Lepisosteus oculatus: one gene and its partners. The protein of the gene in region 1 purifies or fractionates together with the protein of each later gene. This does not show direct contact. Links are inferred from orthologs where the notes say so. Each region holds a gene or a part of one and is shown on either strand. Other genes may lie near its edges. The genes, in order: mrgbp, epc2 and vps72b.

Region 1 (7,468 bases):
CTCTTCCAGCATCAACCATAGCTTCCCAGGAGGTCTCCCATCCAGGTACTGACCAGGCTCAACTCTGCTTTGCTTCAGCAAGTAGCCAGTTGAGAGCATCAGGGTGATATGGCTGCTGGCTTTTACAGTGCTATGTCTTCCAAATAAATAAAATCTTAGTCAATTTCACTCCTACTTGTTTAAGTCTCTATTGATGTTTACGACTGGTTAAAGTCAGAACCTGAATGTTTGATCTATGGACACTGGGGTAAGCTTAATGAGCTCCACATGGAAGTTGTCTTTCTTTTGAATATTTTGTTGTCCCCTGTATTGCACTGAAAGAAAGTCATGTTATCCAATATTATGGCATATTATCCAATATAAAATCAATTATCTGTATCACTGTCAAGTAGATATTTCTCATGGGAAATCTAAACATATCCAAGAAGCTGGCAGGAAGTTTTAACAGTCAAGAAAAGAAAACTGAAGTCAATGCACTTTCCTCTGGGAATGAGAAAGTTCAGGGACATTTCAGACTTTTCATTCTGAAAAATAAACCTTCCATGCTCTATGTTACTTGGTAACTCTCCAGTTTGGAAGGATTTCTTCTCTTGGAAAGCAAGCTAGACTAAATATAGACTAACCTTTCTGCACATCTGACAAACACATTAAAAACAGTGAGACAAATTAACACTTCCCCAGCTGTGAAACTGCATCAGATGTTAATCTAAGCATTTAATAGATTTTACCACAGAACCTGTAAGTGTTAAACAGATTTTAAATCACTGACAAATATGTCCTATTGCCAATCTAAAGCAACCTTTTCTACATTTAAAAATGACTTCTTCAGTCTCGGGGGTGAGTCAACATTTCAGTGACATACTTATTATCCAGATACCTTTCTGTGAACGCTGAATAGATTTCCTGGAAGGAACTGAACCAGTGATTGTGTCATAAAATGCCTTAATCAGTTAGTGTGATGAAATACACTCAACGGCCAAAATATTAGGAACCCCGTTTCATAAAATGGTGGAAATTTACAATCACCAACAGCTGTGTGACCAGGATGTGTCATGTGTTGAACAAATCTTTCACAGACTAGAAACACAATCTTTTCAGGGTTCTGTAGGGGGATTATCTTCAGTTTATGGTGTGTGAGATTGAACATGAACTCCTCACTGGTGTCCACCTGTACTCAATCAAAAAGTTGAAATGAGAGACATGAGATTGCCTGGGAAGGTGATGGATGTCTGTCTCATATTAAAGCATTCACACATTGCCTGGATCTCAGGGAGTTTCTTTCCTTATTTTGTCCAGTGAATTCTTAAGAGTAAAGGCTCACAATTGTGTACCACACTTTGACATAATGCATTCTGGCTCAGGTTCCCCTACTTCCAATCTGTAGTCTTCTATTTAACAAGGAATTAAGGCAAGTGAAAATTGTGTTTACAGCAGAATCGTTTCTTGAGTTTGTGAAAGGATGGCTTAGCCCGCATGGCTTAGGGCCATAGGACAGGGAGGCTGCGAGCTCCATGGTTGGAGAAAAAGGCAACCAAGGGGTAGCTGCAACTGTGGGAGTTGGGTGGAGGAATGCAAAACAAGCGAGGAAGAGTGTGGTGCATATGGGAATCTGAGAAATTACATCAGGATAAGTTGTGGGAAGCAGCAGTTGAGCTTTATTTGTCTTGCTGCCTTCAAACCTCCCACACTTTTGTTAGAACTCCATTAAAATTTCACCTCACTGCTGCAATCTGTTTTTGACCAGCAAGGACATACTGTACAGTAGTATCCTTAACTGTCTCATTGACAAAGAATGAAACCTCTCCCCTCTTCTGATAAACTATGGCCATGCTGCATAATCAGAAGAGGAGTTGTTACATATAGCTCCCTCCCAAAAGCCTTTAAGGTACTGAGTCAGAAGTGTTTTTTTTAGAGCATTTTTTTATACTTATAAGTCTAGCTCCGTGAAGTTGGCCCATCTAAGAAACAACATCCGAGAAGAAACACGGGAAAGTCCACCGTCTGACACCTGCGGACCGCGGCAATATTGGAAACATATATATTTATTTTCACGTAACAGAAGTGAACATATATCAGAATTATTGAATGAACTGTCATTATCCATGTGTTTGTATTTACAGGGGTCTTATGCGCAAACACGAAGCGGTGTGTATGTTTGTGTTTCCGGCCAGTCCTCGGTGTAGAATACAGCGTGAGGACACACCTGCCCTCTGAAGACACAGGTGTGGGTGCCTGTGTTAGATCCTCAGGTGAAGTCGAGTCTTCTGCAGTCTGCAATGTAATGACCCAGACATGTTTGCTTGTCCTGCTACATGAAGTTGCCCACCCGCCCGTCGAACAGCACAAACGACGAAACTCACCGCAATCGTTAATGCTGCGGTTTGTGTCGCTGTAAGTAGCGTTTCTGCTGCTTTCGTTTCCGACATATAGCGCCTTGTTTTTCGGGTATTCGAGTGACTACCTACAAGGAAGTTTACAGGTACCAACAAACTCGGTACTTGCCTGATTGTGATTAAGGCAATTTGTGAGGGCAATTTGTTTTCCGAATCTGTCTAGTCGGGTGGGGTGGATGTTTCAATGTATTTGAATATAGCGCCTTCTTTTCCTGGCTGTGATGTACAAAACAGCAAAGTCACGACCACCAGATATTTCAGTTTTGATCAGTTGACCCCAGACTTTGCAGCCTTTACCCGAATAAACAGTCATACATTTAGGAAGGAGTTACTATGTTAGTTCATTGGGTTAGGTGTTTTCTTTTATTTTTTTTACCACGTTCTCGAAAATGTATTTCTTGTGTACTCCTTTCATTGGTGAAGAGACACCAGTTTCCAAATTACCGCTGGTACAACACGAGAGTCCATATTCACATTTTTAGGTATTAGTTTCAAGATCGATATAATTTAACAATAAAAAAACCAAATTGAAAGCACGAGCATAATAATATAATGATCATAGACTTTACATTTCTATTCATTTTTGAAGTACAAAGCAGAAGGTGTTTCCCCTACCTTACGATGAAAATTGTTCAGATACCATGTATTCATTACAGAAAGCAGCGGAGACAGTTATATTGCAAATAAAAAAAATATTTATTTCGACGAGTACGGGACATTGTGAATCAATAAAGACGTTTTTAAAAATAAGCCGATGTAGTTATTTTACAAATAAGTAAAGCATTTAAAAAACAGATTCTCATTGACAGTAAACAAGCAGATCCAGCAGGCGCTACTAGCCTGAACAGCTCTCAGACCCGTGATTGGCTAAAACTCCCGAACAGTCCGGGCAGCGATTGGGTGAAGAGTGAGAATCGACAATCTGATTGGGTAAAGAGCCACAGCGGAAGTTCTGTGTGTACCGTGTGTGGTGTATGAGCACGCTGGATATACAGTAACACATCTATTGGTTTCCAATTACTGATCAATCTAACAGAGTCGCACTGAGGTCAAAACTGAATAGCAGACAACGAATGTCAAGGCATCCACTGCGCGTTCACGACTCCAATAGCATGTCACGATAGGAGCGCAAATCAGGATCACATCGCGATACCCATTGCGACTGCCGCATCACTGTCATGGCACCACTGTCGCAACATTAAGTCCATATATCGCGATACGACAAACCCCAGCAAAAATGCCCCGCCCTATGTTGCGACATGAAGCCCTTATATCGCGATATGACATACCCTGGCAAAAAGGCCCCGCTCCCATATCGCGACATGAAGCCCTAATATCGCGATATGAGATACACTGGCAAAAAGGCCCCGCCCCCATATCGCGACATGAAGCCCTTATATCGCGATATGACATACCCCGGCAAAAAGGCCCCATCCCCATGTCGCGACATGAAGCCCCTATATCGCGATATGACATACCTCGGCCAAAAGGCCCCGCCCCCATATCGCGACATGAAGCCACTGTATCGCGATATGACATACCCGGCAAAAAGGCCCCGCTCCCATATCGCGACATGAAGCCCTTATGTTGCGATATACCCTGACAGAATATGCTGACCCAGAATCTACTATTGAAAATCTCCTTGATTATGTTTTTTTCTTTCTTTCTAGTGTTATTTTGATAATAATAATAATCATCATAATCATAATCATAATAATATGACAATTTATGATAAATATAATATTTATGAATAATTTAGCATAATAATTGTTATTATAGAATTTTGAAAGTAATTTGTTATAAAAATAATCATAATTAACTATAACAATAATATAAACATATAGCGATAAAAACGGATTTTTTTTAAAAAAAGGTCTTAGCATAAAATAGGCCAAACCGAGATTGCAGCTCCTTCTTCATGTTGTTAGAGGGCGCTATTTTACTCTTTTTTGCTGAGCACGACCTTTTCCTGCTAGAAGATTCAGAAAAAATGGGAGAAGCAGAGGCCGTCCCAGCTGATGAAAAACAGGCAGATTCGGGGTCTAGTCCGGTGGAGGAGTCGGTAATATGGAGCCAAGAAGTGGAGGTCTGCCTTTTTCATGCTATGCTGGGCCACAAACCCGTAGGTAAGACTGCAAATGATTATGAACTACGACAAATGATGCCGCCACTTTTAAGGCCTATGAATCCTCGGTGTTGAGTAGTTAGGTCACCGACTGAGGAGCCGTTGCCGCCAGCCACGCTAACTAGGGTACTATTGAGGAAGAAAAGGAAGATATTGGAAACTGAAAATCCTACCTCAAATAGTGAATTTGGCAACTGCTGCTCAAATACAGTACAAGATGGAGAAAACCTATGCCATAGTAAAAACACACATTCAGATATCGTATTTTGTTAGGGTAGATGGGCGTTCTGTTTGTCCTCCTTGGGACCGTTTTTACAACTTGAGAGACCTTGCAAATATCTTAAAATCGACTAATGGTATCGCACAATACATCTACATTGATGTTACTGTTAATCGTTTATACTGTACATAATTTTTAAATGTGATCAATATTAATCTCGTAATTGTTTTTTTATACGACGAGACAATTCGTAGTAAACAACAGAGCCGTCTCCCCCTGGTGTACAAGCCAGGAGACGAAGACTAAAGCTTCTGTATAGCTCTGTTATATATCCAATATCACCTCACTAGAGACCAACTCATATCACATGGCCGTTGAATTGTTTTAGTTATCAGCAGATGTAAGAACATCATGGATAACGCTGCCTGTATAATGGAACTGTTTATATTTATAGTTCGGTACGCCAGGACCTTTAGGATTTATTCATTTGCCAATGTTTGAATGAACTGTGTCGAGCAGCTTAGTTTTTTTCCCATTTAACTTTTTGGTTTGTTGGCATTGAACAGATGTACTGTATATCGTGCTTTGTACAGTTACCCCACGAGGTGAAATAATAGTGTAAAAGAAAGTAATACCGCAATATAAAATTATGTCATCATCAGAAAAAGAATGGAAGATGCTTCATTAAAGACAACCGGAAGCTTCTAGAATTTAGGATATATTTGATCTTTTTTTTTCCATGTTACCAGATGATTATCCATCTGTTATGTTATTCTAAAAAGAGAGTTGTCCATAAGCAGCTTTTCCGCTCAAAACAGCTGCCACTTGTGGAGGTAGGGCGCTTGAGCAGATTTTCATTCACTCATCACCTGCCTCCTCCCAGGGCTGACTGATCAAATTCTGAATCATGAAAAGGTGGGTGCAGCAGACCTACAGGGGCCAACAAGAATATCTAGTCTGTAGCATTGGGTTGCGTCCTCTCTCTTAGGGCAAACCAAGAGATGGTGTGGACTACAAGGTTACTGACCAGGCCTGTATAGTAAAACCTATTAATGTTAAAAAAGGACCAGTCTAGTCCAATGTGGGATTGTGTTTAAGGGTTTTAATTCTTATTTAAACCTTACCATTTTGTTGTGTGTGTATAAATGTATTTTGTCTTAGGAGTTAATCGTCATTTCCACATGATCTGCATTCGGGATAAATTTAGCCAGAATATTGGACGGCAGGTTTCCTCGAAAGTGATTTGGGATCATCTGGGGACAATGTACGACATGCAAGCTCTGGTTAGTATGCAGTGGTTATTGGTAGTTGCATCCTGTTTATTTGTGGCACTACTGAAATTGCCTGTGTAGTCAGTTTGTGGGTGTTTGCTTCTGTGTCTGCTTTGTATGCCCTGTGATGGACTGCTATCTCATCCAGGGTGTATTTCGCCTTGAGCTCATTGTATGTGGGGTTAGGCTCCAGCTCCTCCCGAAACCCTTAAGTAGATAAGCAGATATTATGTTTAATGTGTTGCTAAGATTAGATCATTTTTACTACAATGACTAAGAGCTAATATAAACATAAAAAGGTGTTTTAGGTGCTACTAGCTGGAAATAATGTATGCAGCAATTGTGTCCATGTCTGCAGCAGTGTGAAAGATAGATTCTCAGTTTACTAAAACTAAAAGTTTTCCTCTTGTCCTATTAAGACTGTAGAAATATGTATTATTGTATATATTAAATATTGAAACTTAAAATATTCAAATATATTAATTATTAAATATAATATAAATGTTGTAATTTTTTGTTTCTGTTGTCTGCAGCATGAATCCGAAATCTTGCCTTTCCCAAACTCGGAAAAAAGTTTTGTTCTGCCAGAGGAAATTATTCAAGAAGTCAAAGAAGGTAAGACCGACTCACGCCTCACTACAAAAACATTCCTGACTGATTGTTCACAACAATCCTTGACATTCCTGATTTGTAAATATTGATTGCTTCTTTAGTCATATTTAAATGTTAGTAGACATTTTCAGTTTTTTGTAGTTGATGAGACGTTTGTCTCTAGCACTTTCTGCAGTGTCATACAATCTGAAAAATATTATGCCATGAGTGAAAACATATCATTTCTGTTCATTACTAGAATATGTTCTAAGTTTAGTTCTTTGCTGGCATGCAGGAAAACTGGTGGTCGAAGAAGAAGTCAAGGATGAAATCAAAGAAGAACGAGACCCACCTGCAACCATGGAAGAAGGTTCTCGCTTAATATGTTTATTTGGTTGGCTTGTTTTCATTTTCTAGTTAGATGTTGGCTGTGCTATTGCAGCACTTTGGCACCTTCTGCTGACAGAAACTGGTGTCCCTCATTCTGGTCATTTATCTCTCATTTTTAAGGTCTGAGACCCACTTTGGCTGGCCAGGATTGTGAGAGGTATGGACAGAAGAATGCTTTCACTCTGTTCCAACAATCCAATATGACCTCACTAGAGACCAACTCATATCACATGGCCGTTGAATTGTTTCAGTTACCACAAGGTGTACAAACATCATGGATTTCTCCCTTTGAAACAGGCAAATCCTTATTTATATATTGAGAGGACATTAAAAGCATGTCTTGGGGACGGATGTGCAATGTCATCTGTTGATTGATTTCATTTGTGCGTGGTTCTCCAGAAAAACTCTGTGTCGGGAACTCAGGTTTCAGTGTATTTTAAGAGTTCAGGATGATAAAAAGTAATGTAAAGAATCTGGG
Region 2 (8,194 bases), on another chromosome or scaffold:
GTAACATTTTAATAATGTTGCACCTACTTTACAATTAAAAACTGGTCACTCATACTTGAATTTTTTTCCTCTTGAGGCATTTTGCTTCTTGTCTCTCGTTATACATGTCAGCTGAATAAGAACTGTACATTACTCTGACTCTCCTCACTTTTGCATCCCTGGAATTCTACCCAGTTCAGTAGAACAGCCCTAAAAACTAAAGGTCAAAGCAAATGTTACATAAAGTTTCACAAAATGCCTTGCTGTGTTACCATACGTCTGAAGTGTTCCCGAAAAGAAATTCCATATTGCATTTAGTTGCAATAAAAATCCCAACATATTGAATATATTAAAATGTCTTCTCTGATTAGTAAAAATGAAAATTGCCAAGTCAGCAATCAAGACCTTGCCACCTTTTGGGGGGAAAGAGACTGTTTTCAGGTAAGTAGTTCCTGTGGGGTCAAAACAATTTCCTGCTGCTTGCTGGCTTATCCTTAAACCACCGCAGAAGATGCACACCCCCCCCGTGCACAGGTGGATTGGGGATTGCAGACACCAGTGGCCAGGAGTAATCTGCAGCACTCAACCCTGCTCCTGGGCCGCGTACGGAGAGCCAGCTGTCGTGCAGCACGGGCGCGTGATCCGGCCAAAACAAGTCGCAAGCATCCCAGCCCCAGTGCACCACTGGGGGCAGCGTCACCGCCCTGCAGCCCTGCCCTGAGAGACACTGGACTTTCACACGCGCTCACTGCAGCCCCTTGCTCTTGGCCGATCGTGCCGGCTGTGTGCCGCTCCAGCGAGCTGGTGGGTGTGTGCTCCGAGCTCCTCGCGGAAGGGATGGGAAAACGGGTAAGAATGTCTGCAGGTGTGGCACAAGCGTTTCAGAGGGAGCACCTTTGGTCACTACCTAAAACCGCTAGAACAATAAATGTCTTAAGGTGAAGGAAATGTCCATAAACTGAAGACTTGGAAAGCCTTAAATTGGTCACAATATATTTTTTTAATGTTTTTTTATATATAAACATTTCTAAAGTCTTCTCTGTAATAAACGTTTTACCACCAACTGTTCATTGGATGCAGTCCTTTGAAATGTGGGAGATGTTTTTTTTTTTTTGATTGGCTGTTAAAATTGCACACTCCTGAGAAGAAGAGCCATTTAAATAGCAGTATCTCCTGGATATTACAAGATCAGATTACTTCCGCTTGCGTGAGCTGGAAGGTCACCTTTCGATCATCGGACCACTGAATGTTTATTTCACACCGTTCGTTCTCTGTGGAGAGACTGATGGAGGGCTCCTGCCTACGTGACTCACACCAAAAGTGCCTCAATGAATAAAACTGGGTCTCTTCTCCTGATGTTGAAATGTTGTATGGTTACACCTACTGGATACCAGTTAAAGCCTAAGTAAATTGTATGAAACATATCTCTGGACATACAGGGGAAGGAAATGGCTAAAAAAGCTGACAAAGTTAGAAGTAAAATGCTGTAGCCTAGTGTATATATTATGAAAGACTAAGTAACAAATACATAAAGTAATATTTCTATTCTCTCATAACGCACACTGCGAAAATTCATACAATCCAAAGGCTTTCACATTTCTCTCAATGGGGATCAACACTGCTCCTGTTGTAGTCTTGCAGCAAAAGGCTGCTTCCAACTTTTCCCACCGATTCCACTTTCACGGGCTGGTATTTCTCTTCAGGTTAAGTACCTGAATGCAATCGCTCCATACCAGAGCCGTCACTGTGTCCTGCTGCCAGTCCAGAGAGCCTTCATGACTCAGCCGGATTTATCATGACGGCTTTATGCAGAGCAGCCTGATTGGCTGCCCTCCAGCAAAGCCATCTTGATTGAAGGGCCTGGGAGTGACAGGCAGGTGCTCTTGAGCCTGAGATACCATTGCAGCACTTACAGGAAAGGCAGCTCCCCTTTCCCGGAGAGCCGGAGAGAGCCTGTTAATTCCAGTGATGAAACGGAGGCTGGACTCCATTCTGCAGGCAATCAGTGTTTTTTTCCAGCGTGACCCACCTGTGCGGTTTGCAGTCCTGAGGAAATGAGCGCGGGCTCTTCCCGAGCCGCTCACTGGCAGGAGAGCGGTCGGCTTGGCCGGCGTGGAGACGCCACAGCTACAGTATCCTGCTTCTGGGGGAAACGCAGTGTTTCCGTCATTCAACAGCGAAGCGTTGAGGCTTTCGGACTGAGAGGGATCTTGAGAGCAGGCCACAGCGAAGCTCACGTGGGGGGTGACTGAGAACGCGACTCCCTTCCCCGGGGTTAATGGGAAATGAAAGGAATGGTCAACCAAAGAGAACTGTACTTGCAGAGTTTGGGGCACATCTCAAGCCCCTGAAGGGGTGAAATGTTGAGTTTAAAAACAGCTTGTTGTGTACGAGGCGAACTGAGCTTGTGAATTGACGTAATTAAGAATTTTAATTACTTTAATCCCCATGTGTGTTACAACGTGCTGCCATTTTGCTACCAGGCTGTCACTCCTGAGAGCTCAGTAGCTCCAGATCAAGTCCAGACCAGAGCCATGGTGCCTCATCGGCCCAGAGCTCGTCCTGGGTTCTGAAGAGCACAAGCCCTTCTGTCTCAGGTGAGAGTGACCAGATGAAAGCAGATGTCTTTAATGAGTCTGTGAAATGAAATATTGGAAGGGACTGCATTTGCAAATACTTCCATAATTACGTTCCGGTTTTCCAAGTGTCTTGCATTTTCATGTCGTGCAGTGAAAGTAGTTGTATAGTTGCAGAATTATTGCTTTTTTGGGATCATTTTCATTGCAACTGTCTTCTCACTGTGGTTAAAAATCCACCACTGGGGTGCAGTTTCACAGTGCAAAAGGAAGCTTTTCTGATTGGTTTAGAATATGTCTGTACAAAATGTATGTACAAAAACAACATTAACAAGAAATCCGAACAGTAATCTTTTTTATCTTGTGCATCACAGTAGGTGTTGAAGCCTGGATTATTCCTTTTCCAAAATGTATCCACAATTTTCACATCTGAGTAACCTGAACTGTAGTTCCTGTAAAGCTCCTGGACCAGTATCTGTATATATGTATACTGTATGTTTTTTTATTACATAACAAAATAGATGGTTCAACCCCGTGAGCAAAAAAACAAGATGTGGTCGTTTGGAATGATCCCAGTCTCTGGGATCTGTGGTGACCCCTGGCTCACCTGAGAGATGACACAGTAGCACTCGTCTGACTTGGGCGATATCAACAAAAAACACCCTGTACCGTTCTCGCCAGCTTTCCTGCGAACTGCAGGAATGATCTAATTGTGCAGTAGGGTCGCGCTGTATGAGAGGATTCCAAGAAACCAAAGTGAGATCTTAGTCCTCCTGTGACTAATGATTTCAATTGGCATGCCACGAGCCAAAGAGCTCAACAGATGAAAATCACAACTTCCACTGTAACAAATTGAGATGGACCTTGACTGGCAACATTGTCATGCAAGCCAATCTGCCTCTCTTCAGTTAACTGGTTTACTGTTGTACTGGTGCACAAAGTGCAGTGAAACTGTTTCGATTCTTCAACATCTCGTTAAGATCTGGTACAGTTTCTAAATCCCGGAGTTTTGAACAATGGAAAAAAGCTAACAGCAAAGAATCTCTTAAATGTAACTATTGCTGAATATCACGTTAAACGTGAAGAAATTGGAGATTATAACTTTGATTCTACACAGACAGTACCAAAAAAGCATTTTATTAAGCTTTCAAATGAATATACAGAATAAAAGCATAAATAACTAAATATGAGGTACTCTTACAGAAATACTTTTTTAGTAGGACAAAATTGAAATAGACCTTTCCACCCAGTGATGTTTAAGAACGATTATACCCTTTAAGGTGCTATTGGTTCAAAATGCTGTAATATAAACTAAAGATTTAAATAAAATTCAAGACTAGACAAACACCTGGCAGACGATATTCAATGCAGACAGATAAAGTGTATTACATTGAGGTAGCAAAAACATTAGATGTTAAAATGGGAAATGTCTACTTATGGAAAAGTTTATATTATTGTAGACAAGCTATTTGCTGTCTTCTAGACGATGTGGGGAAGCAATTTAAAACACCAAATATATCGTCACAACAATTAAACTTGAAATTTAAATCAAGACAATTGTGCCATTGTGCAAAGGACTATTAGTACGAGTCGCTACAACCCGACGGACCAGTGATGCCGAACAGCCTCCTCTGGTCCGGAGCCTGTCTCGGGCTCTTGCAGCGGGTTCGGACTCGGGCCGAGTGCTGCTCTAGAGACTCCACAGCTCGGGAGGCTGAGAGACCAGCCCTTGTCCTCAGCTGCTCCACATGAACACCAGGGGAGCAGGACCTGCCAGGGCAGTACCGCCCGGGAGGAAACCTCGGGTTTTCACGGCGCCGAATCTCCGTGTGAACTACTTTAACACTCACGGGGAGTCACCTCGTCAGGCAAGGAGACCTGTCACACGAACTCCCTTTCGGACTTCATGATTTATGAATCATTCATTTTCTTTTCCTGAAAAAAAAATCTTGAAATCAGAAATTGGCGTGTTTTTTTTTTTGCATATCTTTTTTTTTGCAAAAAGCTACTGGTCGTTTACACATTTACATCACGGACGTCTGAGTTTATTTCGGGTAGCAGTGCCTATGGGAGTAGATCGATTTAGGACAGCCAGTCGCAAGTGCCCAACAAGGCATCAACTTGATAAAATATCTTTGGGAGAGAAACCACCGGAAGTTGCAACCATGCGGGGCAACGGATCGGGACGGTGCTGTGTTGTGTCAGCCCACCTCAGGACTACAGGAGTCCTGTTGGGTCAGCTGGAAGCGGACTGGTCCTCGACGAGCGACGCGCTCCGAGCTCACAGCGCAAGCGGCGGGCTGCGCGCGCCCGGCCGTCGGAGCTCGTGCCGCCTGCCGCCGGGGCTGCGCGCGCAGCGCCCCGGCCCCCGCCGCCCGGGTGTCTCGCGCGGGCTGCCGGGATCGCTCTGCCGCTGTGTGGAAATGTCCGCCATGTTTTCCATGGCGCAGGGAGCGGATCGACCGAGGGAAAACCGCCTTTAAATCCGGGAAAACTCGACCGAAAACGGCTTCCCTCGCTGGATTCCGAGCAAAGGGGAACCCATGAGTCCGGCCGCGGCGGAAAGAACCGGGTCCCCAGTGGTTTTAGTCCGAGTTTTCGAGTGAACTGTGGCGGGATAAATGTTTCCTTCCAAATTGATGTTATTGTGATCGGCGACAACAATGAGTAAACTCTCGTTCCGAGCGCGAGCGCTAGACGCCGCCAAACCTCTCCCCATCTACCGCAACAGAGACCTGCCGGACCTCACCGACTGCGTCTCCATCAACCGGGCCGTGCCGCAGATGCCGACGGGGATGGAAAAGGAAGAGGAGTCGGTATGGCCGTATTTTAAAATTATATTTTGTTGTTATTATTTAGGGAGCGAAGCGGGGTGTTGGTATTCCTGGCAGGTTTACGCAAACGTCCATGCGTAGCACTCTATGAGCGCCGCTGTGGTCTGCGTAGTCTACGCAAACATCGTTTCCGTATCTGGCGGTGATCGCCATGTTTACACTCGGTGCGCAAGTTACGCAGATGGCGTAGGGCAGCGGGTCTATTTCTGAGTAACGAGAGGGAAGTAATACGTAGCTTTCTTTGTGAGTCCCTAGGTATTTTGCTTTTGGGGAAATGCTTTCCCGGTTCAGTGTGTCTGTCTTTGTCCTTACGCAGCGCAGTTAGCGTAAGGAAATCAGTGAGCCAGTTTCATAAGTGAAGTTAGGTTTGCGTACGTTGCTTTGATAAACAAGGTTTGTGCGTATAGTGTTCCGCCATTGGTCCTGCGCTGCTCATGTTGGACCGACAGAGATTTGTGCATTATTACTTGCAGATGAACAAGCTCGTAGTTAACAATATGCAGTTCACATGCGGGAGCCAGCGTGCCTCTGTGATAACACTGCACAAGTTAGAGGTACTGGCAGTGCACACGTTTGCTCATGCATGCATGCATTCAATGTGAAAGACGTGATTGGTGTAAGTAGGCTTGTGTCAGATAATGGCTTATTAATTAATCCTCTCTGATCAGGATGGCTTGTGCATTGCAGCTGAGCTCGTAGCGTGCTTGCATTTTTTTTTAGTTGTTGCCGTTTCTCATTAATATTCTGAACTGTTACATTGGCGGGGCTGCGGGTACTCTTGCAAGATGCCCCAGCCGTAGTAGTAATCGCCACCCGTGTTGTCAGCGCAAGAAATTTCTCAATGGAATTTGTCGTACCTGCAGGGGCCCCGCCCCCTCCGCGCCCTCATTGGCCAGGCGCGCCGGCGCGCTTTTCATTCTGTCAGAAGTCGAGCTGTGAAGCCCTCTGGGGTGAATGAGATTTACACGTCTTTTTTATCATTTTTGTGCCGAACACAAAGTTTCATTCTGTTATGCTTGCTTGCAGCGCGTATCGAGAAGAATCCGTTTTCGTTATACATCTTTAGGTTCCCCTAAGCTGTCTTGAAGTATAATGTTTTTTTGATCAACCTCTGTTTTCAGTATTATTGCAGCCCGGTCTGTTCTAACTACACGATCTGGTAGTACAGTGTGCATTGAGGATGCAGAATAAGCACTTGCTCACTGGTGTAGCGCTTTTATAGATTTTCCACCAATTTCTTTTTTAATGGTTCTGATACAAAAGAAATCAAAAGGTGATTTGGTCTAATCGTTTGAAAATCTTCATATCAGGCACTTCTAAAATATAAGTTGTGCTCGCCAACAAATACCTTTTTTTTAGTTTTGCGATGCCACTCAGCTGTAGCACCTGTGAATCACAAACCACATCACCAGATTTTGTGAATTAAGTTTGAATATGTTCCACTGTTTGATATTCAGATGCTTTGCAGCCCTTAATGAAACTTCTAAGGGGAGGAGCTGTGTGCTTTTGATCTCAAGCAAAGTGCATTTTTTTTCTTTTACTCATTGCAAAATAACCTAGATGTCACATCACATTCTGCTTTGTATTTTTTTACATTTTTCAGCACAGGGTGGTGTGCATCTGTAATCACACCTGCTGCAGCTCTCAGTAGTCACAGGCAGGAGGCCCTGTTAATTAGCTCTGCTGATACCCCTGGCCAGTGATCAGCCTTTGCCATTTGAGGGCATCGAGATCAATAATGATCACTAGTATTCTAGCGAGCCTCTGCCATGTCTAGTGATTCAGGATTTTGTGGGATTGAAGATTAACTGGAACGTCTGACCAGATCCGTGACACAAATTGCCATTCGGGTGCCAGCCGGTCCTGATCTCCGAGCTCGGACCCAGCTGTGGCACTTGGCTCAGATGGGGGGTCTCTGAGAAGGAGGGCCCAAAATCAGTTAAAGTTTTATGCACGTAGTGATACTGTGCTCCAGAATCGTATTATCCAAATATGTTTTCATTTGCGATATGTTTTCTTGATAATATCAATCAATATTGATTAGGCAAAGCAAGCTAACTGTTGAGCTGAGGGACACGCAGCTCCCAGCTCCCGGGAGCAGAAAACATACTTCACATTCCTTAGAGTCGTCAGTTTTAGCTAAAATGCATCCCATATCACGAAGAGCATAAAGCTAAGAGTCGAAACTGAGTTTAGGGATGCCATCAAGTCGGCAATTTTGAAACATTTTTAAAATTGGGATGTTTTCACCTGTTGTGTTGAAGATATCGCGGTGGATGGTAACTGCCTCTGTGACGAGTGGTCGATGCAGATTTGTCTCTTACAGTACGTCTGGTTTCCTTTCCCTTCCAGGAACACCATTTACAGCGAGCCATTTCAGCACAGCAGGTCTTCAGGGAGAAGAAGGAATGCATGGTTATTCCGGTTCCCGAGGCCGAAAGTAACATCACCTACTACGACCGCCTTTACAAAGGAGAGTTCAAGATTCCCAAACAGCTTATCCACATTCAGCGTGAGTCTCTGTTCGATGCTGCGTGTTTAAATTCCAGCTGTTACTTCTTTCCCCACTTTAATGTGTTGCGCAGGTTTGTCAAGAATCAGTGGTAGGCCTGCCAGGAAACGCATTTCACTGCCAGTGCAGAGCGTAGCGAGTATGTCGCGCTGTTCTAGTTCCCAAAGAGAATGCGGGCAGCTACAACTTCAGAATTGTTTCTGCAAAAACTGCCTTAACTGTTAAAGGTTTTGCACACGTGTGTTTTTCTTTATTTAGGGTTCCGAAAGTTCCATTGGTAAACCTGAAATCTG
Region 3 (7,608 bases), on another chromosome or scaffold:
CACAGACGACACACGGACACCGAGTCAGGGGCTGCGACCTCATGGTCGGCCACATTCTCGGCATGCGCACCACCACTCCGCAGTTTGGAGGACAGTCCAGCCACCGCGGAGAGATTTAAAAAGCGCCGGGCGGTCGGCAGGTTTCTGCTTAATCGAAAGCAAACTTCAAAAGCCCGGCGAGGGCAATCACTGGGATCAAAAAACACAAAGGCAGGGCACAGCGTCTTCTGCAAACCCCTCAGAAGCCAAAAAGAATAGCACAGCAGTGTCAAAAGGAAACCTGTTTATTAAGAGTGCAAAGAGGAGGCACTTTTAGACACAAAGCCTAAGAGCTGGAGAAAGCTACCCTGCCAAGTTGCCTGAGACGATTCCTCTCTGAGACCCTCCGATCAGACACCCTTCAACAAAAGAGTAACAGAGATTATCTTATTCCCCAGGAATACCGTGTCTTGGCTGCCTGCAGACGCCCCATGAAACCACCCCCCGACAGGCCCAGAGTTTCTCAGAGCCGCCCCCTGACCTTGTAGGCCTTGGTGACCACACGCCGTTTCCTGCGGGGCTCGTCCTCCTCCTGGTCGCTGTCGGGCTCGTCCCCCTCGTCGATGTCGAAGTCGCTGTCCACCTCGTCCTCCGTCTCCGACTGGTCGCCCTTGTACTCGTCGTCGCCCGACTCCTGCCAGCAGAGAGGAATGAACCCGATGGGAGGGGGCGGCGCCCTTATAAGAGCAATCTGCTCGTTTTCTCCGGGATTCATCAAAAACACTCCAGCACCTCCATAAGTAGCGGCAGATTAAAAAGCTCTAGTCCTAGAACATCTTAATTACAAATTGGCACGAAGGAGTCAGAGATTATTGCTAATAGGGCTGTGTGGAACACAGCACTGGATCTTTATACCACTGGATATACACTTTATACAATGCATCTGCAATTTAATAACTGTTGTTGGGATTTCAAAGAGACCTAGGAGCCCTAACTGAAACACCAGCTTCTCTAGGACTAAGATTGCAGACCCTTGGCTTCGGCCATTTTTACATGCTAATGTATACCATGCTGAGTTTTGATTTTTGGTTATCACAGAGGTGCCCCCAGCTGTCCCCGACACACCTGTGGGGCTCCCACACATGAGCAGTGCAACACAATAATAATCAACTTTAACTTATATAGCACCTTTAAAAGGTGGCTTTCAAAAAAAGCTCTTTGCAGAACGACAACAACAACAATAAAAAAAATGCCAGTTTTATCACAGCCCTGTTTACAGTAAAACCAGAAATTCAATTCAGGTGGCAGTGTCAGCATGCGTAGGCTGCAAAGGAACAGGTAAAGATGTATTCCATGCTGAAAGTAAAAGAAGAGAGACTACGTTTCGGCTATGGAGCCTTCTTCAGGTGCGTTTAGTTTATAACTGAAGAAACTCCACAGCCGAAACGTTGTCGCTTTTCTTTTCCTTTCAGCACGGAATAAACCTTTACCTGACGCGAAAATCAGCTTTTCCTGTGCTGCCCTACATCAGTGGTTCTCGCTTCTGGTCCTGCAGCGAGCCAGCGTCTCTCCTTGTGCTCGAGTCCAGCTGGTTACATCTGTCCCTCATATTAGCACAAGAGCTCATTACAAATCTCCTTCGGACTGATAAGAGCAGAAGACGCCTCAAGTAGAAAACCTAAATAAATGAACTCCGTTGATTAAGGGAACAAAAGCGAGCGGACATAGGGGTCCAGAAAGCCCAAATGTGAAATCCAGTAATCTTCACCAAGCTTACCGCCCATAACGACACATGCTGAGGTGTTCGTGTGCGGTTCGCTTTATGCTCGGTCTCGTAACATTTCCAAATCTACGATTTTCATTTCAATGAGGGAGACCTGTGTAAACGTTTTAAGCATACAAAATGACTACTGTATTAACCTGAAGCTTCCAATTTCATATTTCCTGTACTATTAAATTAATTTTATTTCTGATAAGAAATCTGTTCTAACGTAAAGTCTTGTGTTAATAACTTACATCGTTGAATCCGCCGTAAGTCGTTTTGTAGAATTCGTCATCTTCTTCCGCATCTAATAATTTAGACATACGGTTTCCCGCCGTCTTTCGCGGTGCTCGACCGACGGCTAAACTCATGTTTGGGTAAACTTCGTCTGCAAAATAAAAATAAATAAACACGACCCCCTCAGCCTTCAGTAGTAAAGCTATACTGTAAGATTAAGATATCCGTTTACTTCTAGATTGTACCGTCCGTCGAATTTAACAAGAAAGTTATTTTTGTGAAAACGCCTTGGTTTTTTTTTCTGAAAACTATATTTAAGTCCAATTATTTTCTTTATTTAAACAACAGAATTAGACACTATTCGCAATCCGGCCTACGGTGCAAGGCGGCCATTGCATGTTTTAAGTCTTTGTAATTGATTGCCGAGCCTTGAATCCAGACTCAACTAATGGAGCTGAACCGCAGTGGTTGTGACGAGTTTATACCAGGAGGTGACAGTGTTACCTCAGCATTCACCCTCTACAATTCTTTCTCAAGCCTCGGTGTTCCTGCAGTTAAATGAATATCGTCTGACTGACGATTCGCTCGCACATTTCACATTGCACATTTTAGCGTCACAAAGGGATTTGTTCACAATATTCTGGCTGAAAAATCAGGTGATGAATCCTTCAAAGGACATCAAAACCAAAGCAATCCAATCCAGTTCCCAGGAGTCAAAATGCCTCCCCATGTGAGATAGCTCAAGGGAACTGGTTAATAAAATTGGACAATTATTAACTTCATCCGGCTGTGAACAGTTTGACAGTTATCTTATGTTGCCACCTGCATCAAAGGACCCAGTTAAGTAAGTAAATCATTATTTCAGGAGACTGAGCCATCACAGATCATCACCTACCAATGAAGGCTGCTCAAGGTTCGAGACTGGAGGGCTGTGGGTTCGAATTCCAGCTGTGACACAGCTTTTCTATCCTTGAGTGAGCTGGTTCACCTGAATAGCCAGCTGTATGTTGGTAAATGGGGGCAAATCTAAGTTGCCCTAGATAAAGGCATCAGACAAAAAAAAAAGCAAATTGATTTTCAAAGTGTGTAAACAAATGTATGATTTAGCAGCTTTCTTCTCTCAAGCTCTCTTGCACTTGACTGAAGAGACTCAGTTCCTTTTAACCTGTGCTGTAGATTGACATGGACACCAGCCCTGGTCCTGGGTGGCTGGCTTGTGCAGGTGTTTCATCCTTGCTTAGCTCTGTACAAAGTCCAATCAGCTCCTAATGGCTGAAGTGGGCCCAATTTAACAAACTGGTGCTGGTGTTTCAAAAAGATCTAGGAGCTCCTCTAGGATCAGGATTGGAGGCCTTTGGCGTCAGCCATTTTCACATGACTTGCAAGCAGCTGTAGAGAACACCTCAAAGCAACAGGCGGTTGAAGGAATCACCAGCAGCACTAGCAACATGGTGTGTTGACTGTTTATACACAAACACAGGTGGAACTACATGTTACGCCTACTAATGTGCTAGTACCAGTTGTGCCAGGTTAAAACTGATAGCAACAATGAGTGTGCCTGTGTTGCCAAAGCACTGAACATTCCTGCAAGGTCATACAAGTAAGAGATGATTTGGACTAATTCTAATCCAACAATGTTTGCATTTCTTCTTCTGCCTAAGCAGGCTGCCTCTTGATATACTGTATGGGAGTCTGTGGCATAACCACTGTGCTGGCTACCCTCTGCCTGCTGCCAGGGGATATTGGGATATAGGAACTGGTTGCAATTCTGCTGCCAAGCCCCAGTTTGAACGCTCCAGCTCCTCAATGCCTTTTTCAATGTCAGTTAATCCAGCTGCCTGCCACCTGGGTTTTCACAGAAAGCACCGATGGACATGGCAGGGAGCACGCTGCAACTGTCTCAGCATTCAGTTCCCAGCGCCTGCAAGCAGGTCCCTTCGAAGGATAATGTGTGAAAAAGAAGGAAATATAGTCGAAACACAAATGCATCAGATCTCAGTCAAATGTGGTGAGCGTTAACCATACAGAAACATGTGTGAAGGGATATTAGGCAGGATGGATGACTTTGCAAATTCTTCACGTATTTCAGGTTATTACAGACTGCTTCCAGAGTGCACTGGAATGCATACAAATGTTGTACCAGCTAAAACTGATAAGATCTGGTATGCTGCATGAAGGACAGTCTGATTCTTGGAAGATTTATGTGAAAAGGATCTAAGGGCAGATATGTTCCCTGGCCGCATTCCCCACATTCATCTCAGGCCACAGCTGCAAAGAATGGGGCTACTGATGAGGGGAATGAGGCGGCTGTGTTTTAAGAATGGGGACAGGCGAGATGCTCTTATCGAGAGAGCATCCGCAGAGTTTCAGCCGAGCAGTTTCACCTCCGGCAGAGGGGGAGGAGCGCGCTCTCCCGGGCTCTCCGAGTCGGACGCAATCCCTCGAATTCTGGACGGAGTGTTGGGTTTCACAGTTTCGGGGGGAAAAGGCCATGGCTGTCCCACTCCGGATCTGGAACGCTTTCCGGGTTATTTTGCCTCCCACCATCCTCCCGAACCAGCAACCCTGACCTAGTGGCTACCCCCCCCACCCCTCCCCCACTGCAAACACAGGGGACCCCGAGAATCCTGCCGCTCCCCAGCCTTGGACAGCCTCGGACTCTAGAACAGAGGGACCCGTGGACACCATGCAGAGGCCGCCAGGGCTGAGCACCCACCCTCCCTTTGAACAACGCCAGTCGGCCAAAACTCTCCTTCACTCTGAATGCTTTTAGTGTCCGTAAGAGTTGCACCATCAATAAAGACTGACAGGGGTACCACCCCTAGAAATGAACACTGTTCCTAAATATTAGTCTTCCTTAATATCCCTCATGCACAGCGGCCCAGCACCCACCACACTTTAACAGACATTTCCACTTAAGTGGAAACCTTTAATACTTAATACAAGAATTCCTTCAATTAGTATGGCGGCGTGGCTGAAGACAAGGAGCTGGTGTTCCAGAAAAGCACCAGCAGGCAATTTAAAAATTGAGGATAGTTTGCCGACAAGAGGGGGCGAATTATCACAGCCAGCTCTTGGTAATTGGTAGCTATTCACATCAACGATCGCCTCTAGCCTGGACCAGCGGTGAAACATGGAACGCTCTCCGGATCAGTTTAATCCGGACGGGTCATCCCGGACCCAGTGGCTACCCCCCCACTAGAGGGCACCGGTGGGAACTTCCTTGGAAGTGTAGATTTAAAACATGAGAACGGGAGCCACTTCTTTACACAAAGAGTGCCGGGAGTGTGGAACAACCACGTTGCTGAAGCCGATACTGTGGTTTCTTTACAGAAACAGCTGGGTGAGGTTTCTTGGAATAATTAGCTACAAACTACTAAATGGACTGCATGGGCCGAATGACTCCTCTCGTTTCTGTCCTTATTTGCTGACGGTATTCCACTGTGAGAGAGCACGCCGCTGGCTTTCATTATATACGTGTTCGATATTTCTGAGACTCAGAAGGAATCAATATTTGGATCACGAAACTCTTAACTACCAAACGGGCTTGACGGACTGAATGGCCTCTCGTTTTTAACCGTTCTTAAACGTCAGTAAGACACACAACCATCCGTCTCATTTATTTTAATTATTTTCCGGGTACATTGACACGCAAAAGCGGTACAAACGAGGGCACTTTGAAAGAAGGGGCTGTGGCCGCGTAGCCATTGTTCCCAGCTTGTTTCAGGCCAGCTGTATCTCCCCCGATTGCTCGTTTTTCCCCAAAAGCTCCGGACGGTAATAAACTGACCACCCACGTTGTCCGGCCGCACACACCTGATGGGCGGTCTCCCAGGCGATCCAGCCCAGAGGAGCCGCCGTAGCAGAAACACACCCGCCTGCGCTGCAGAAGAATCTCCCCATCCAGAAAAGGGGAATATTTTTTTTGGGGGGGGCGATGAGAGAAGCGAGTCCAGACAGACAAGCGGAGACTCCTTGCCCAAACGCAATTGCGATACTCAGCAGCACCACGAGATGGAGCAGCAGGTGGAAAAAAATCGCGTTTTTTTTTGCTGGCCTCGCTGCATTGTGGGGGCAGTTGACCATAGACAATAGGTTCCCCCCCCTCACTGCTGTAAAAGGCAGACACGGAGAGACAGGCCCGAGGCCAACAATAGAAACAGTGGCGCCTATTGTCCCAGCTGCACGTAAAAGCCGTGCACTGTCCCGAATAGGAAATAGCCGATCTGCGGTCCATCAGCAAAATGCCGCGCTCACACGTGACGGGCCTTAGGAAACGACCTTCCAAAATACATTTTCCGTCCCTTTCTGCTACCTGCACACAGTCGGGACGGGGAACAGGGGAGCGTGTGTTCAGCATGAGAGCCCCGAGCGAGTGTTCAATTCAAATACTGCTCGTCTGCGCTTCAGTGGTAAAGCACCTGACGGCTCCCGGCAAAGTTTACCCAGCGCTGTCACGCCGGAGAGACAATCAAGACTCCTTTCGCTTTTGTGCGTCCTCTTCAAACAAATGGCAAAGAATCTGCTGACGTGCGTTGTCGTTGTCGCTTGAGCTGCGGGGAACAATCGCCCGGATCGGGGGTCTGTCAGGTACACTAGTTCTGGAAACAGGTCCCCAAGTGAAGAACACGAGAACCAGAGGAATTGCGCCCATTTTGTTTTGTCATTAGGATGCGGTTGATCTAATGGTCCAGGTGGATGCTGCACATTGGTGGTGGTGGAGGGGAGTCCCCATTACCTGTAAAGCGCTTTGAGTGGAGTGTCCAGAAAAGCGCTATATAAGTTTAAGCAATTATTATTATTATTATTAATGACTTGGCGCAACTGTTTCTTGAAAGCAGCCCGTGTATCGGGCTCCACAACATGGCTGGGCAGATTGTTCCACACTCCCACCACCCTTTGTGTAAAGAGGCGTGTCCTTTTTCTCGGTTTGTCACATAGTTCCCACTTGAGCCGTCTGGAAACACTGGACCAGGACAGAAAAAAAAAACAGCCATGTTGTGGTTTTTGTGTACTATTCCAATTCACAGAGCTCTATTGGCATGACTGGTGAATTGCTGAAGATGAACTGCTCCACTCTATTATATTTGTCAGTGTTGTACGTACTGTACAGCGGTTCACTTTGATCTCAATTTTCCCATGAAGCACAGCTGAGCTGGTAAGAGAGCTGCTTTGGAGAGGGGTCCTGGAACAGAATTTGGGGAACCCCTTTGAATATAGATGAGTATATTCTCATCTGGGTGATGTGGACTCTCTTGTTCCAGGTTTTCAAGAAACATCATTGTGGAATAAACCATACAAAACAAGCAGCCAGCTGGGAACAAGGTACTCTCATGGCTACAAAGTCTACAAAATGTACAAAATTGTACAAAATGTGCCTTCCACCCACCTCCTGGTTCGCTTGTTTCCTCCCACACTGCCAGATTGACAGATTAATCCTGTTTGACCGTGACATTTCCAGTAATCGCTCTTGAGCACACATTGCAGGCTGGAACTTTAATTATACCATAGCTATGTAAAGAATTTCATTTACAAGGATGACAATAATATTCTAATAATAGGCAAAATATCTTTCTGGGTTGGGAACAGGGAAGTTGTTTAAAAAAAAAGTACTGAGTCATTCCTGCCTG

The links.
Region 2: the proteins of mrgbp (region 1) and epc2 purify together in Homo sapiens (co-immunoprecipitation; 4 studies listed by BioGRID and IntAct, counting the BioPlex papers as one, with this or other methods). This does not show direct contact. The link is inferred for Lepisosteus oculatus from reciprocal best matches to the Homo sapiens genes MRGBP and EPC2.
Region 3: the proteins of mrgbp (region 1) and vps72b purify together in Homo sapiens (co-immunoprecipitation; 5 studies listed by BioGRID and IntAct, counting the BioPlex papers as one, with this or other methods). This does not show direct contact. The link is inferred for Lepisosteus oculatus from reciprocal best matches to the Homo sapiens genes MRGBP and VPS72.

The regions. Positions count from the first base shown.
Region 1 is NC_090711.1:7,361,724-7,369,191, reverse strand, and holds the start of mrgbp (MRG/MORF4L-binding protein), read left to right. Parts: upstream 1-4,337; 5' UTR 4,338-4,383; coding exon 4,384-4,519; intron 4,520-5,899; coding exon 5,900-6,021; intron 6,022-6,542; coding exon 6,543-6,624; intron 6,625-6,895; coding exon 6,896-6,970; intron 6,971-7,110; coding exon of another isoform or gene 7,111-7,147; intron 7,148-7,468.
Region 2 is NC_090707.1:2,857,360-2,865,553, forward strand, and holds the start of epc2 (enhancer of polycomb homolog 2), read left to right. Parts: upstream 1-4,954; 5' UTR 4,955-5,218; coding exon 5,219-5,371; intron 5,372-7,741; coding exon 7,742-7,901; intron 7,902-8,194. UniProt on the Homo sapiens protein: May play a role in transcription or DNA repair.
Region 3 is NC_090722.1:5,052,336-5,059,943, reverse strand, and holds the start of vps72b (vacuolar protein sorting-associated protein 72 homolog), read right to left. Parts: upstream 3,178-7,608; 5' UTR 3,163-3,177; coding exon 3,144-3,162; intron 2,130-3,143; coding exon 1,996-2,129; intron 674-1,995; coding exon 521-673; intron 1-520. UniProt on the Homo sapiens protein: Deposition-and-exchange histone chaperone specific for H2AZ1, specifically chaperones H2AZ1 and deposits it into nucleosomes.